Stegostoma tigrinum: one gene and its partner. The protein of the gene in region 2 purifies or fractionates together with the protein of the main gene of each other region. This does not show direct contact. Links are inferred from orthologs where the notes say so. Each region holds a gene or a part of one and is shown on either strand. Other genes may lie near its edges.

Region 1 (7,981 bases), on a different chromosome or scaffold from region 2:
GGCGCGGCCGCACTTGGAGTATTATGTACAGTTCTGGTCACTGCATTATAAGAAGGATGTGGAAGCTTTGGAAAGGGTGCAGAGGAGATTTACTAGGATGTTGCCTGGTATGGAGGGAAGGTCTTATGAGGAAAGGCTGAGGGACTTGAGGCTGTTTTCATTAGAGAGAAGAAGGTTGAGAGATGACTTAATTGAAACATATAAAATAATCAGAGGGTTAGATAGGGTCGATAGGGAGAGCCTTTTTCCTAGGATGGTGACGGCGAGCACGAGGGGGCATAGCTTTAAATTGAGGGGTGAAAGATGTAGGACAGATGTCAGAGGTAGTTTCTTTACTCAGAGAGTAGTAAGGGAATGGAACGCTTTGCCTGCAACGGTAGTAGATTCGCCAACTTTAGGTACATTTAAGTCATCATTGGATAAGCATATGGATGTACGTGGAATAGTGTAGGTTAGATGGGCTTGAGATCGGTATGACAGGTTGGCACAACATCGAGGGCTGAGGGCCTGTACTGTTCTATGTTCTCTGTTCAGTTAAACATGAATAGGTCTCATGACATAATAGTTCCACATGATAGTACAGGTAAACTTTCAAAAGGCCTTCTGGAAATGAGACGAAAGACTCCGTTAGCAATTAAGGTACGTGGATATCAACACACAAATGCAGATTCATTGATGGTAATGCTAATCCTATTGAACTTCAAAATAGGTGGTCATTATTTGTCACTTAAAATGGGTCTGTAATGAGGCCAGGAGCTGAAAGGGCTTGGTTGAATCCAAAATGAATGGCAGTAAGCAGGTTATTGCAGAGCCAATACTGCTTGACAACACTGTTGACACTCCCATCCAACACTTTGATAGGGTGGTAATTGGCTATGTTGGATTTGTCCTGCATTTTGTGGACAGGATATATTTGGATTATTTTCCATACTGATGGGTAGATACCAGTGCTGTAGCTGCACCGAAATACCTAGGGTCCAGTAAACTCAAGAGCACAATTCTTTTGTACTTTGCCAGAATACTGTTAAAGACTATATCCTTTGCAGTATCCAGTAGCTTCAGCCATTTCTTGAGCTTACATGGAGTGCATCAAATTAAAGACTTGTATTTGTGATGCTGAAGACCTCAGGAAGAAGCCAAAATGGATCACCCACTAGGCAATTCTGAGTGAGAATGGCTGTAAATGCCCCAGTTGTGACAGCGCAGTAAATCTCATTCAGCAGAAATGGCTTTAGATTCTTGAGTACTTACTCTGAATTTCCCATTCTTCACTCCTATATTCTCCATGGGAAAAATATTAACTTGACAAAAACACATTTAAGCAGGTCACGAACCCACTTGTTCTGTTAATGGTCATTACCATGGCTATTTAACATAACATTAACATTCTGTTTCGAATCAGAGTGAGGGCAGGCAGGATGATGTCCTGGAAACAACTTGTACATGGATTCCCGTGTCTTCAGCAACCACAGCATTACAAAGCAAGGTCAAAGGAGGATGCTTTTGGTGTTTCTGTCTCTTACTTGGATTTGTTGCCGTGGGACCGGTGGTGGCGGTGGGGGGAGCGGTGGTGGTGAAGTTGGGTGATATTAGTCAAGGACTGAAGAAAGAGGGCAGCCTCTCCAACTAAGCAGATGGTCAAGGAAGTGAACAGTTCAAGGAATCCTCTGCTAAGAGCCCGAGACTTTCAAGGAATTCATCTGAGCAAAAGAGTGTGTCAAAACTCTTCAGATATTTCTGATATTCCCAGCATTTCCCTGCCCAGCATTCCTCAAACCAAATACCTCATCTTGTAAGAGATCACTCGTTCCCATCTGGGTAGCCAACATGCATTCATTTCTGTATCATGTTACACCAAGCTCACACAGTCACAATTCACACAGGTTCATACTTTCTGATCCATACAGTCCATTATTTACAACTCTCTGCTTTCTCTCCTTATAGAGAAGAGAAAAGAAATCCAAGGAGAGGAAGGGTATGGGGATCTTCAGTGATAGTCTCCTTGATGGTTGCTGGTAATACCAGCCTAATTGGTCCACTGGCAGGGAGGATTTGTTCCAAGAGGCTGATGGCAATGATTTGCTTATGAATGCTTGATTCTCAAGTAACTGGTGTTATACAAAGTAAAAAACAACACATTCTAAACCTGTAGACTGTTTAAGGGGTCTCATTTCTTTGGAGTTGGAGCTCCATGTTCAAATCCTCCATAATGTAAAACAAGAAGTGGCTAAGGAGAAGGAAGCTGATGTTGTTCTTGCTATTGCTCATCTTTTTCCATATCAGAGGTCTGATGTAGACTTGCATAAGCTGATCCCATATTCATAGAATCTCAACTGTGTGGAAACAGGCCCTTCAGCCCAACAAGTCCACAGTGACCCTCAGAGCATCCCAACCAGATCCAACCCCGCGATAACCCATCTAATCTACACATCCCTAAACACTACGGGCGATTTAGCATGGCCAATCCACTTAACCTGCACTAATCCACTAACCTGAATCTTGAGACTGTGGGAGGAAACCGACGGAGACATGGGGAGAACGTGTAAACTCTGCACAGAGAGTCGCCCTAGACTGGAATTGACCCTGGGTCCCTGGTGCTGTGAGACAGCAGTGCTAACCACTTGGCCACCACAACATGTGAAACCATATTGCAGTGAAGGTTGACAAGCAAGCAGTGCAAGGTGACAGAAGTATAAGAAAAGTGAACAGATTTCCAAGGATTTATTCAATATGTACCAAGCAACAAGAAAAACTCAGCAAAAGTGTTGTAAGCAGTAGCGTTTCACCTAGGCATGGTTGCAGTTATTCAGTTCGCTGTTTGAAGGCATCTCAGCTTATCAGTTTTACTGAAAAACATTTCCTGCTCCACTCTCATCTGGTGAATTATAAGTGCTCTGCACTCTTTTTTTTCCCCAAACTAAAGGTCAGGGTGAAATGCTTAGTAAATCTCTACTCACCTGCAAACCCACCCAGTCATAGGAGGGATTATTCAATGTTCTGATTCAGATTTTATTGGGTCTTTAACGCTTGGAATTGGCTTTCACTTGTTGCTGCCCTATATTGATTTTGGGGCCTTTGAGATCAGTTTCCTCATGCAGGCAGTCAATGATTTATAGAAAATTTTCAATAGTTTATTGAGTTTGTTCAACAGCGGTTTAGATATGATAATACTATACATCAGTTAAGTAGGCAAAAAAAAAGTACACAGCCTGTGATAACCCACTGTCCCCTTTCCCATCCCCATTTGAATATTAGTTTTCATTGCTTCTAAAGAACAGAACTTTATTTTAGCTTTGAAAACATGCACTAATAGTCGGTTAGTGTGGCACTCAACAAATCTTTTCACCAGTAGAAGACTCATTACTACTACAACACAGTTAGAGGAGGCCTCATGTTACACAGGAAACACCAGATATGGAATGGTGAGTTTATATAGTTTTTTTCTGGGGGGTGCTCAATTTCCAACACCTATGCCTTAATGACCTTTAAGGCAGCCAAAATTGCGCATAGAACAATAAACAGAAGTTTTCAACAAACATCATTACTTACGTATTCACAGCATTTAAATAGAACATAGAACATAGAACATAGAACAGTACAGCACAGAACAGGCCCTACAGCCCACAATGTTGTGCCGACCATTGATCCTCATGTATGCACCCTCAAATTTCTGTGACCATATACATGTCCAGCAGTCTCTTAAATGACCCCAATGACCTTGCTTCCACAACTGCTGCTGGCAACGCATTCCATGCTCTCACAACTCTCTGCGTAAAGAACCTGCCTCTGACATCCCCTCTATACTTTCCACCAACCAGCTTAAAACTATGACCCCTCGTGCTAGCCATTTCTGCCCTGGGAAATAGTCTCTGGCTATCAACTCTATCTATGCCTCTCATTATCTTGTATACCTCAATTAGGTCCCCTCTCCTCCTCCTTTTCTCCAATGAAAAGAGACCGAGCTCAGTCAACCTCTCTTCATAAGATAAGCCCTCCAGTCCAGGCAGCATCCTGGTAAACCTCCTCTGAACCCTCTCCAAAGCATCCACATCTTTCCTATAATAGGGCGCCCAGAACTGGACGCAGTATTCCAAGTGCGGTCTAACCAAAGTTTTATAGAGCTGCAACAAGATCTCACGACTCTTAAACTCAATCCCCCTGTTAATGAAAGCCAAAACACCATATGCTTTCTTAACAACCCTGTCCACTTGGGTGGCCATTTTAAGGGATCTATGTATCTGCACACCAAGATCCCTCTGTTCCTCCACGCTGCCAAGAATCCTATCCTTAATCCTGTACTCAGCTTTCAAATTCGACCTTCCAAAATGCATCACCTCGCATTTATCCAGGTTGAACTCCATCTGCCACCTCTCAGCCCATCTCTGCATCCTGTCAATGTCACGCTGCAGCCTACAACAGCCCTCTACACTGTCAACGACACCTCCGACCTTGGTGTCGTCTGCAAACTTGCTGACCCATCCTTCAATTCCCTCGTCCAAGTCATTAATAAAAATTACAAACAGTAGAGGCCCAAGGACAGAGCCCTGTGGAACTCCACTCACCACTGACTTCCAGGCAGAATAGTTTCCTTCTACTACCACTCGCTGTCTTCTGTTGGCCAGCCAATTCTGTATCCAAGCAGCTAAGTTCCCCTGTATCCCATTCCTCCTGACCTTCTGAATGAGCCTACCATGGGGAACCTTATCAAATGCCTTACTGAAGTCCATATACACCACATCCACAGCTCGACCCTCATCAACTTTTCTAGTCACATCCTCAAAAAACTCGATAAGGTTTGTAAGGCATGACCTACCCCTCACAAAGCCGTGTTGACTGTATTTGATCAAGCCATGCTCTTCCAGATGGTCATAAATCTTATCCCTCAGAATCCTTTCTAACACCTTGCAGACGACAGACGTGAGACTTACCGGTCTATAATTGCCGGGGATTTCCCTATTTCCTTTCTTGAAGAGAGGAATTACATTTGCCTCTCTCCAGTCCTCAGGTACGACTCCAGTGGAGAGCGAGGTTGCAAAGATCTTCGCAAGTGGCGAAGCAATTGCATTTCTCGCTTCCCAAAGCAGCCGAGGACAAATCTGATCCGGGCCTGGCGACTTGTCAATCTTAATGTTTGACAAAATTTTCAGCACATCAGCTTCGTCTATCTCTATCCATTCCAGCATGCACACCTGCTCTTCAAAGGTTTCATTCACTACAAAGTTCGTTTCTTTCGTAAAGACAGAAGCAAAAAACTCATTTAGGGCTTCCCCTACCTCCTCAGGCTCCACACACAAGTTCCCTATGCTATCCCTGATCGGCCCTACTCTTTCTTTGACCATTCTCTTATTCCTCACGTAAGTGTAAAATGCCTTTGCGTTTTCCCGGATTCCTTCTGCCAAGCCTTTCTCGTGCCCCCTCCTGGCTCTCCTCCGACCATTTTTGAGCTCCTTCCTTGCCTGCATGTAATCCTCTCTAGCTGAACTTGACCCTAGCTTCCTCCACCTTATGTAAGCTACCTTCTTCCTTTTGACGAGAAGCTCCACCGCTCTCGTCATCCAAGGTTCCTTAATCTTACCCCTTCTTGCCTGTCTCAGAGGGACATATTTACTCATCACTCCCAACAACTGTTCCTTAAACCGTCTCCACATGTCTATAGTTCCCTTACCATGGAACAACTGCTCCCAGTCCATGCTTCCTAACTCATGTCTAATCGCATCATAGTTTCCTCTTCCCCAATTAAATATCCTCCCATATTGCCTAATCCTCTCCTTCTCCATAGCTATGTAGAATGTGAGGCAGTTATGGTCACTATCACCAAAATGCTCTCCCACCACAAGATCTGATACCTGCCCCGGCTCGTTTCTGAGCACCAAGTCAAGAATGGCCTCTCCCCTCGTCAGCCTGTCAACGTACTGCGTTAGGAAACCCTCCTGAACACACCTTACAAAAACAGCTCCATTCAAATCTTCTGCTCGAAGGAGGTTCCAATCAATATTAGGAAAGTTAAAGTCACCCATTACAACAACCCTACTGCGTGCACACTTTTCCAAAATCTGTCGACCTATGCTTTCTTCAATCTCCCTGCTGCTACTGGGGGACCTGTAGTAAACCCCTAACGAGGTGACTACTCCCTTGCTGTTCCTAATTTCCACCCATACTGACTCAGTAGGCAGATCTTCCTCGACAAAGGAAGCTTCTGTAGCTGTGATACCCTCTCTGATTAGTAGTGCTACACCCCCTCCTCTTTTTCCCCCCTCCCTATTCTTATTAAATGTTCTAAACCCTAAATAGAAAAGACAAACCTGCTTGTTTTTCTGAAGACTTTCATAATCCTGTTAACTACTTTTTATTTCATCAGAAAATATTCACATATTTCTTTGTACCAAGCTCAAATCATCAAGCTATATTTACTTGTCATCAGTGTTCATTTCCTGTTCAACTATTTGCATGTTTTGGACTGTGACATTAGAATTTTTTCAATAAAAGTCTTGCAAGATATTTTATTGAATTCATTCAGAAAACAAAATACACGACATCTACTGCATAACTTATCTTTGCAAATAGCAACCAAGTCAATAAATCCATGCCAGCTATCCAGATTTTTAGGTGTATTTCTAAATGCTCACTACTAGCCTTGATTGTAACTCTGTCTGAGTGGAAACTTGATAAAAGGAAATAAAAGAGAGACTCCTTTCCAAGTACAGCCAGCTTAGTTTTATTGTGTACTCTTTAAATATACAGGTTGAGCTTCAATAATACCATCTGCCATTTTAATTGGAGGCTAAAGCAGAGACAGTAGTGGCCTGCCCACTACTGGGTTGAGAATCAAAAGAGACCCAGAAATGTAAATTTTAACTTTGTATAGGCTTCCTTGTAGACCAGGGAGGGAAAGAATGTTCCTTTGAGTGCCACAAGCGAATCTTTGGGCACCTTCCTCCTGGACAACGTTTCCTTCAATTGTAATCACCTCTGGATATCTGGCACCCATTACGCGCAAAAAAAAAGCCTTCCTTTCAAACATCCTCCACCAATATTTAGAATTCTCATTTGGTAGGCATAGGTCCCACAAAAATCAGCCTGTGTTTTCATGCTATCCTAATTTCAGTTCTAGCCTGTTGGCCCAACCAATGGTTCCAGTTCATTCTCAGGTCGACATTCAAGCTGAAATACAAGAAAAATGCTAAGGAGTCAAATTCTTTATAGTCCTCAGCACACAGATTTTTCATTCATAGCCAGATGACCTGCCAACAAGTAGTGAGGCCATTCTACCTCAAATTGCAGTATTTGAACTGTAGGTAGGTTAGTAGCAAAAAGAATTACAAACTCATCTACTACTTAAGAGACAACACCTGGGCTATTTAAACTCTTTCAGAAGTCACATGACACCAGGTAACAGTCCGACTGATTAATGTGGAATCACACAAGCTTTTGGAGTGCAGCCTCATCAGGTGCACCTGGACTATAACCTGGTATCATATGACTTCTGACTTTGTCCACCCCAGTCCAATACTGGCACCTCCATATCATTTTAACCCCTTGGCTTCATTTAAATCACATCAATTGATTTCTGTTCTGTGACGAATGGAGAGCAGCTGCAAGATCACCAATATTGAGGGCATCCATCAACAAAGTTCACTTTGCTTGCGAGCTGTAGTGGGAAGGACAGCACAGTGGCTCAGTGGTTAGCACTGCTGCCTCACAGTGCCAGTGACCCAGGATTGATTTCACCCTCAGGCAACTGTTTGTGTGGAGTTTCTACCTTCTCCCTTTCTCTGTGCGAGTTTCATCTGGGTGCTCCGGTTTCCTCCCACATTCCAAAGATGTGCAGACTAGGTGGCTTGGCCATGCTGAATTGCCCATAGTGTTCAGGGAAGTGTAGATTAGGAGGATGGTCTGGGTGGGATGCTTTGAGTGTCAGTGTGGATTTGTTGGCTGAAGGGCCTGTTTCCACACTGTTGGGATTCTGTGATCTATGATCTGT
Region 2 (7,077 bases):
GCAGCCCAATGTTATCAAGCTTCAAAATCTCCCCTCCCCCTACTGCATCCCAAAACCAGCCCAACTCGTCCCCTCCTCTCACCTCAAGTCGCCCCCCCAATTTCCTCCCAATTTCCAATAACCTTGCCCCGCCCCCTTGACCTCTCTGTCCTCCCTGGACTGACCTATTTACTCCCTACCTCCCCACTTACACTCACCTTTATTGGCTCCATATCCACTTCTTTAACTTGAGTATCTACACTCCACCTATCGTCTCCTCCATACGTCTTCAATCTGCCTCCCCCTCTGGACCTATTTATTTCAGAACCCCCTTCCCCTCCCCCTTTTCTGATGAAGGGTCTAGGCCCGAAACATCAGCCTTCCTGCTGCTCTGATGCTGCTTGGCCTGCTGTGTTCATCCAGCTCTATACCTTGTTATCTTGGATTCTCCAGCATCCGCAGTTCCTATTATCTCTGAGACAGCTTCCCTGCTAGTTTTAAGGGCACTTGGGAGTCTCCACAGTGTTAATGTGGAATAAGAGGGGAAATAATCTCAGGTCATGAACCTCTTTATCTCAAAGCCCTCCATTAACTCTCTCATCATTATCATAATGTAGGAAAGGCAGCAACCAAATTGTACACAGCAAGATCCCACAAATGGCGTGGTAATGACGGGGTAATATGTTTTGGTGATGCTGCTCTTTTTTGAAATAGTATCATGGAATCATTTTCACTCACTTGGTAGATGAGTCCTTGCCATCATGTCTCTCTTGAAAGTGGATACCATATCTGATTACAGAATTTTAAAACCAGCTTTTGGATGAGATTTTGAAGCAAGGGCTTGGCTGCCGCCTCAAATAAACAGCCAGACAGCCCCTATGTGCTGCGTTGAAATGCCAGCCTGAGTTATGTTGCCCAAATTTGGAGAGTGGGCGCAAGCTATTTCCTGGTTTCCTAAAGAGAGAGCTCAGAAGAGCCAGGAGGAGACATGAGAAGTTGGCGGATAGGATCAGGGTAAACCCTAAGGCTTTCTATAGGTATATAAGGAATAAAAGAATGACGAAAGTAAGATTAGAGCCAATCAAGGATAGTAGTGGTAAGTTGTGTGTGGAGTCAAATGAGATAGGGGAAGCGCTAAATGAATATTTTTCAACAGTATTCACTCTAGAAATCGACAATGTTGTTGAGGAGAATACTGAGATACAGGCTACTAGACTAGGTGGGATTGAGGTTCACAACGAAGAGGTATTAGAAATCCTTCAGAAGGTGAAGATAGATAAGTCCCCTGAACCAGATGGGATTTATCCACGGATCCTCTGGGAAGCCAGGGAGGAGATTGCCGAGCCTTTGGCATTGATCTTTAACCCGTCATTGTCTACAGGAACAGTGCCAGACGACTGGAGGATAGCAAATGTGGTTCCCCTGTTCAAGCAGGGGAGTAGAGACAACCCTGGTAATTATAGACCAGTGAGCCTTACCTCAGTTGTTGGTAAAGTGTTGGAAAAGGTTATAAGGGATAGGATTTATAATCCTCTCGAAAAGAATAAATTGATTAGGGATAGTCAGCATGGTTTTGTGAAGGGAAGGTCGTGCCTCACAAACCTTCTTGAGTTCTTTGAGAAGGTGGCCAAACAGGTAGACGAGAGTAAACCGGTTGATAGAGACGAAGGATGCTGTAGGTTGCAGAGAGACATAGATAAGCTGCAGAGCTGGGCTGAGAGGTGGCAAATGGAGTTTAATGCAGACAAGTGTGAGGTGATGCACTTTGGTAGGAGTAACCGGAAGGCAGAGTACTGGGCTAATGGTAAGATTCTTGGTAGTGTAGATGAGCAGACAGATCTCGGTGTCCATGTACACAGATCCTTGAAAGTTGCCACTCAGGTTGACAGGGCTGTTAAGAAGGCATACAGTGTTTTAGCTTTTATAAATAGAGGGATCGAGTTCCGGAACCAAGAGGTTATGGTGAAGCTGTACAAAACTCTGGTGCGGCCGCACTTGGAGTATTGTGTACAGTTCTGGTCACCGCATTATAAGAAGGATGTGGAAGCTTTGGAAAAGGTGCAGAGGAGATTTACTAGGATGTTGCCTGGTATGGAGGGAAGGCCTTACGAGGAAAGGCTGAGGGACTTGTGGCTGTTTTCGTTAGAGAGAAGAAGGTTGAGAGGTGACTTAATTGAAACATATAAAATAATCAGAGGGTTAGATAGGGTGGATAGGGAGAGCCTTTTTCCTAGGATGGTGACGGCGAGCACGAGGGGGCATAGCTTTAAATTGAGGGATGAATGATATAGGACAGATGTCAGAGGTAGTTTCTTTACTCAAAGAGTAGTAAGGGAATGGAACGCTTTGCCTGCAACGGTAGTAGATTCGCCAACTTTAGGTACATTTAAGTCGTCATTGGATAAGCATATGGACGTACATGGAATTGTGTAGTTTAGATGGGCTTGAGATCGGTATGACAGGTTGGCACAACATCGAGGGCCGAAGGGCCTGTACTGTGCCGTTATGTTCTATGTTAACATAACTTCTCTGAAGTGGGTTGCTCTGGAAATGCTTCCCTTAATCTGTCTCAATGAAAGGAACGTTTTAAGAAAGAAGCAAATTTAAGAATGCTGACTAAATGGCAAGGATTTGATGGCTTATTTGCAGTTTACCTTTCTGAAATTAATTCACAGCGCAGAATGATAATCAGTGCTTCAAAGCCTTTCAAAAACTGGCCCGAAAATGGTTAGCTCAGCAGGAGTACCGCAGCACTCAGTACAGCCAGACTGAAGCCTGCATCAGAGAGAATAGATACTCACGGACTCCCTCGATCTTGTCTGCCGTCCTGTTCCAGGACAGTTGTTGAGTTTCCATGATCACCTGCAGTGTTCTCCTCTCGGGTTGAGACTTCTTCAGGCTGAAGACTGTCATCACAGCACCCAACTCCAAGGTCCTTTTCAGCTGACTTTTCTCCGGCTCCGACATAGAATCCAAACCGTCTTTATTCCAGGACATCTTCGCCGCTCTCCTTCCCTCCCACCCTCCCCCTAACCCCCGGACTCTTTTTAGTTTTGTAACAACTCAGACCGATGAAAGGAAACTGGATCGGCGTCCAGCTTCGTCGTCGCTAAAGCACACACAGACGCACGGCAGAGCGCTGCGCTGAATACTTTCAAGCAAATCCCCTCATCTGGAACCTTTTGCAGGGACCAAGAAACGCTACAATGGCTTTTTTTTTAGGATCACTTCGAGCACACGAACAGGGCCAGAAGTTTTTCATGTCTACAAAACAAACATCTTGCATGTTCCGCAATTTGGCTGCATGAGGAAGTTGGCTAAATTTTCTTTGAAAAAAAAACTTGGTCCGGAAACGCCGTTGATGTGATCTATTCAAAACTGTGAAGTTGTCCAAAGGTACGTTAGTTACAAATTGAAGGGAGTCAGATGTGTCAGTTTCATTTACACAGCGCCATCTGGCGCAGACATGAACACCCAGCCCAAAACGTCAGCTTTTGTGCTCCTGAGATGCTGCTTGGCCTGCTGTGTTCATCCAGCCTCACATTTTATTATCTTTGAACACCGAGCGGTCCCTTTCATTCCAAACTCGGCAAACCATCTTCGTCCTGAAAAAAAAGGTGCTATTATCACTTTTCAGTTTTGAGTCTCAATGTGCAAACGTGTAAGCATTGAGAAGCAGACAGATCTAACTGGTGATTAAAACAAAATATTTTAAATGGTCAGGAAAATAATACTACAATAGCGTTTGCAGCTCGAGTAGCCGGATGATTATTACAAATGCTTCTATTCATTCATTGATCTTCCATGCATTTTCCGTTGCAATGTTGGAATCAAAATATTTGTTATAGTAACAGTTACAGATACCATCCAGCGTATTATTAATAGAACCGGTTTCTTTTCTCTAATTTATCTGTTCTCTCTAATCGATTGTCTACTTTTTGCTTCTTCCTACTGTGTTTCTTATATCTGCGCGATTTTTTTCACTCTCTTTTACTCTCCCATTCTTTCTCTCTTCCTCTTTCTATATTAAAAATAGAAAGACACTTCCGTTGAATAAAGCTTTCTTCTGATCTAATAAAGTTGTTTTCACGACAGCTGTGAGCATTATTATAAGTGTGGAGCCGGAAGAACACAGCAGGCCAGGCAGCATCAGAGGAGCAGGAAAGCTGACGTTTCGGGTCGGGACCCTTCTTCAGAAGGATGTTGTCTATAAAAAAACTTCTGAAGAAGGGTCCCGACCCGAGACGTCAGCTTTCCAGCTCCTCTGATGTTGCCTGGCCTGCTGTGCTTCTCCAGCTCCACACTGTGTTATCTCAGACTCCAGCATCGGCAGTTCTTAGTTTCTCTGAGCATAATAAGTTTCTTTCACTGAATATGCACAAATCTATGCACCAATATCACTACAGTCTTGCTCCTAAATCCTCCTTGCCGTCAGTTACTTGATTAGGATTGCAGTTTGCGTCCAACTGGGTTATTAGGGAGTTCATGCTTTGTTTCTCTTTGCTTCCAACATAAATTTCCTGTAGTTGATACAAGCTATGTATGACTCCTCATTGTCACTGATCAAAATGGATTGAACTACGGCTGTACCTTATTGTTATTCCCTTTTAACTATCGCAAATCTGCCCTGTCTCTAAAGGTTAAGAACTTTAGGATTTTGTTTTTTGGGCAAATTTTTCATCTGTCATGTCATTTCCAAGTCTTTAACTTTAATTCAAAGGCTTAACACAAATGCACAATTCCTCTTATAAAGCGATAAAGTAATTCCTTCTCATTTTACATGCCGAAGTATTGAGACCTGGTTGTACTTCTGTGGTATCATTATAGACGACGTACATTGGAAAGCGAGGATACCACTTAAAAACAGTAACAAATGTTAGTTTTAGTGATCCGGAAGCCGATTGAAAATATAGAATTTAATGGGTGAAAGGGTTAACTAAGTTAGCAGGAGAATTCCTGCAGCAAACTTGAAATAAATTTGATCCTGAGTTCTGAGGAAGGGTCACCGGACCTGAAAGGTTAACTCTGTTTTCTCCTCCACAGATGCTGCCAGATCTGCTGAGCTCTTCCAGCAACTTTGTTTTTGTTCCTGATTTACAGCATCCGCAGTTCTTTTGGTTTTTAACTCTGTTTTTTCATTCACAGAAGCTGCCAGACGTGCTGAGCTTTTCCAGTAACTTTGCTTTTGTTCATAAATTTGATGATGTTTGCTAGTCTAGCATGGCTTTGATTTGCTGCATGTAATTATCTGACAGAATAATACAGTAGCATAAAATCATAATTTTTAACAAGCACTGTGAATGTAGTCTTTCGTTAACAATGCACTAAAATAGCTAATCAAGGCTTTTGTTCTATAATTTTATGTGTGAGGGAATATTTTATTAGGCTGTATTTGTACAGGGAGATGGATAAGGAAACAAAACCTGTGGTTAAGGATGATGAGTAGTGAGGTTTGGAAAACAAGTTTAAAGTATGTCTTTTGAAATATGCACTACATTACGGGAGAGGCAGACTTTGGAGTTGATAGGTTTCCAAAGATGAATAGAAACCAGACTGATGGTTAGCGAATGCACAAATTCGAACAATACTTAACTGCTAGAGAAATCTGCTGTGTAACAGGGTAATTGGAATTTACTATTACAAATCTGTTTGAAGGCATACATATAATAACCTTCATGGATTTATCATGTTCCAAAACTCCTTAAAGTCAATGAAACGCTTTTACAAAATACATGTCAGAAACAAATATGTCGGCAACTGCCATTTCCACGACCAACAATGTGATACTGACCAGCTAATTGGTTATTGTGATGTCCTTTGAAAATTAAATATAGTCCAAAGTATAAAGGTTAATTCCTCAGCTGTTTGAAATACCACTTCGCAATCTTTTACACACATCTGAGAGACCAGTTAAGTTCTTGGTTTAACGTCTCATCCAAACAAACAAAAAATCCGACAATGCAGCAATCTCTCAATACTGTACCAGAATGTAAGCCCTGATTTTATGCTCAAGATCTGGGCATTTTTCTTAACAAATTGTTCTTGAAGTTTGAAAAAAAAGATGGACAGCGCCTTAGTATGAATAATATCCCCCATTGTAATTTCTATTAGAAGAGATATTCTCTTTTAGATCTCCTGACACTGCTCAGACATTTCCTGTAGTCATCTGTATCCTATTTTTCTTCACAGCATGCATTCATTTTTGGGAAATGCTTTCTGGGTTGCCTGTGGGGCATATACAAGGTGAGGAAGCATATTTAGCTATAATCTGTGAAAGCAAAACATTGTGCTGAAGATGTTCAAGAAATGCTATCTTGAAGCCAAACCATTGACAATTAAGAGTAAATACTGAAAATGGTCAGCAGGGCTGAGGAGGGAGAAGAGGGGTTAAATTTTCAGTTGAAGATGACTGCCTCTTGGGAACAGGCTGGGGGCCAGAGAGGAGTCACTGGAGACAGGGTGCAGGGAAACTTGGAGGCAAAAGCAGGGAATGAGTTCTGATTAAAACAGATGGATATAGGTTTATCGTAAAAATAAGCATTTTTAATTAATGTTCATCCACCTTCTCTGAGTAATCCAATTTTAAATAACTGGCATTTTACATTTTAAAGAATATGAAACCATTTTCTACTTATGTTGGTTAGTTAGTCAGTTTCCTACTAAATTAAATGAAAAAGCACGTTTGGAGGTTTTTCGAAAATCCCTTTCAGTTTCTTTTCACCCAGCAGTGCAAGCTTAATTTTTAAAGCATTCTAACATACCTGCAAATTGATACAAATTGTGGAAATTCCTAGCTATGATTATTACACCCAGGGCTATTATTCAGCATTGTAGATGAGGTTTACTTCAGATACAATGCTTCTCAACCTAAAAGTCAAAAGACTATGGAAGCTCAAGCTGCACTGCAAACAAATTACACTTAAAATTTTGTGATCTTGTGTGCCAGTAAGGCCAGTTCCAGCTGAATTATAGCTAAGATATCAGTACCAGCATAAGAACATAGGTGCAGGAGTCAGCAATTTGGCAAATGAAGCCTGTTCTACCACTCAGTAAGATCATGACTGATATAACTGTGCACTCAGCTTCACATTTGTGACT

Evidence for each region.
Region 1: the proteins of plcg2 (region 2) and lyn purify together in Homo sapiens (affinity purification with western blotting; 3 studies listed by BioGRID, with this or other methods). This does not show direct contact. The link is inferred for Stegostoma tigrinum from reciprocal best matches to the Homo sapiens genes PLCG2 and LYN.

The regions. Positions count from the first base shown.
Region 1 is NC_081358.1:65,317,778-65,325,758, forward strand, and holds the start of lyn (tyrosine-protein kinase Lyn), read right to left. Parts: upstream 3,013-7,981; 5' UTR 2,978-3,012; coding exon 2,958-2,977; intron 1-2,957. UniProt on the Homo sapiens protein: Non-receptor tyrosine-protein kinase that transmits signals from cell surface receptors and plays an important role in the regulation of innate and adaptive immune responses, hematopoiesis, responses to growth factors and cytokines, integrin signaling, but also responses to DNA damage and genotoxic agents.
Region 2 is NC_081369.1:46,215,031-46,222,107, reverse strand, and holds the start of plcg2 (1-phosphatidylinositol 4,5-bisphosphate phosphodiesterase gamma-2), read right to left. Parts: upstream 3,012-7,077; 5' UTR 2,977-3,011; coding exon 2,781-2,976; intron 1-2,780. UniProt on the Homo sapiens protein: The production of the second messenger molecules diacylglycerol (DAG) and inositol 1,4,5-trisphosphate (IP3) is mediated by activated phosphatidylinositol-specific phospholipase C enzymes. It is a crucial enzyme in transmembrane signaling.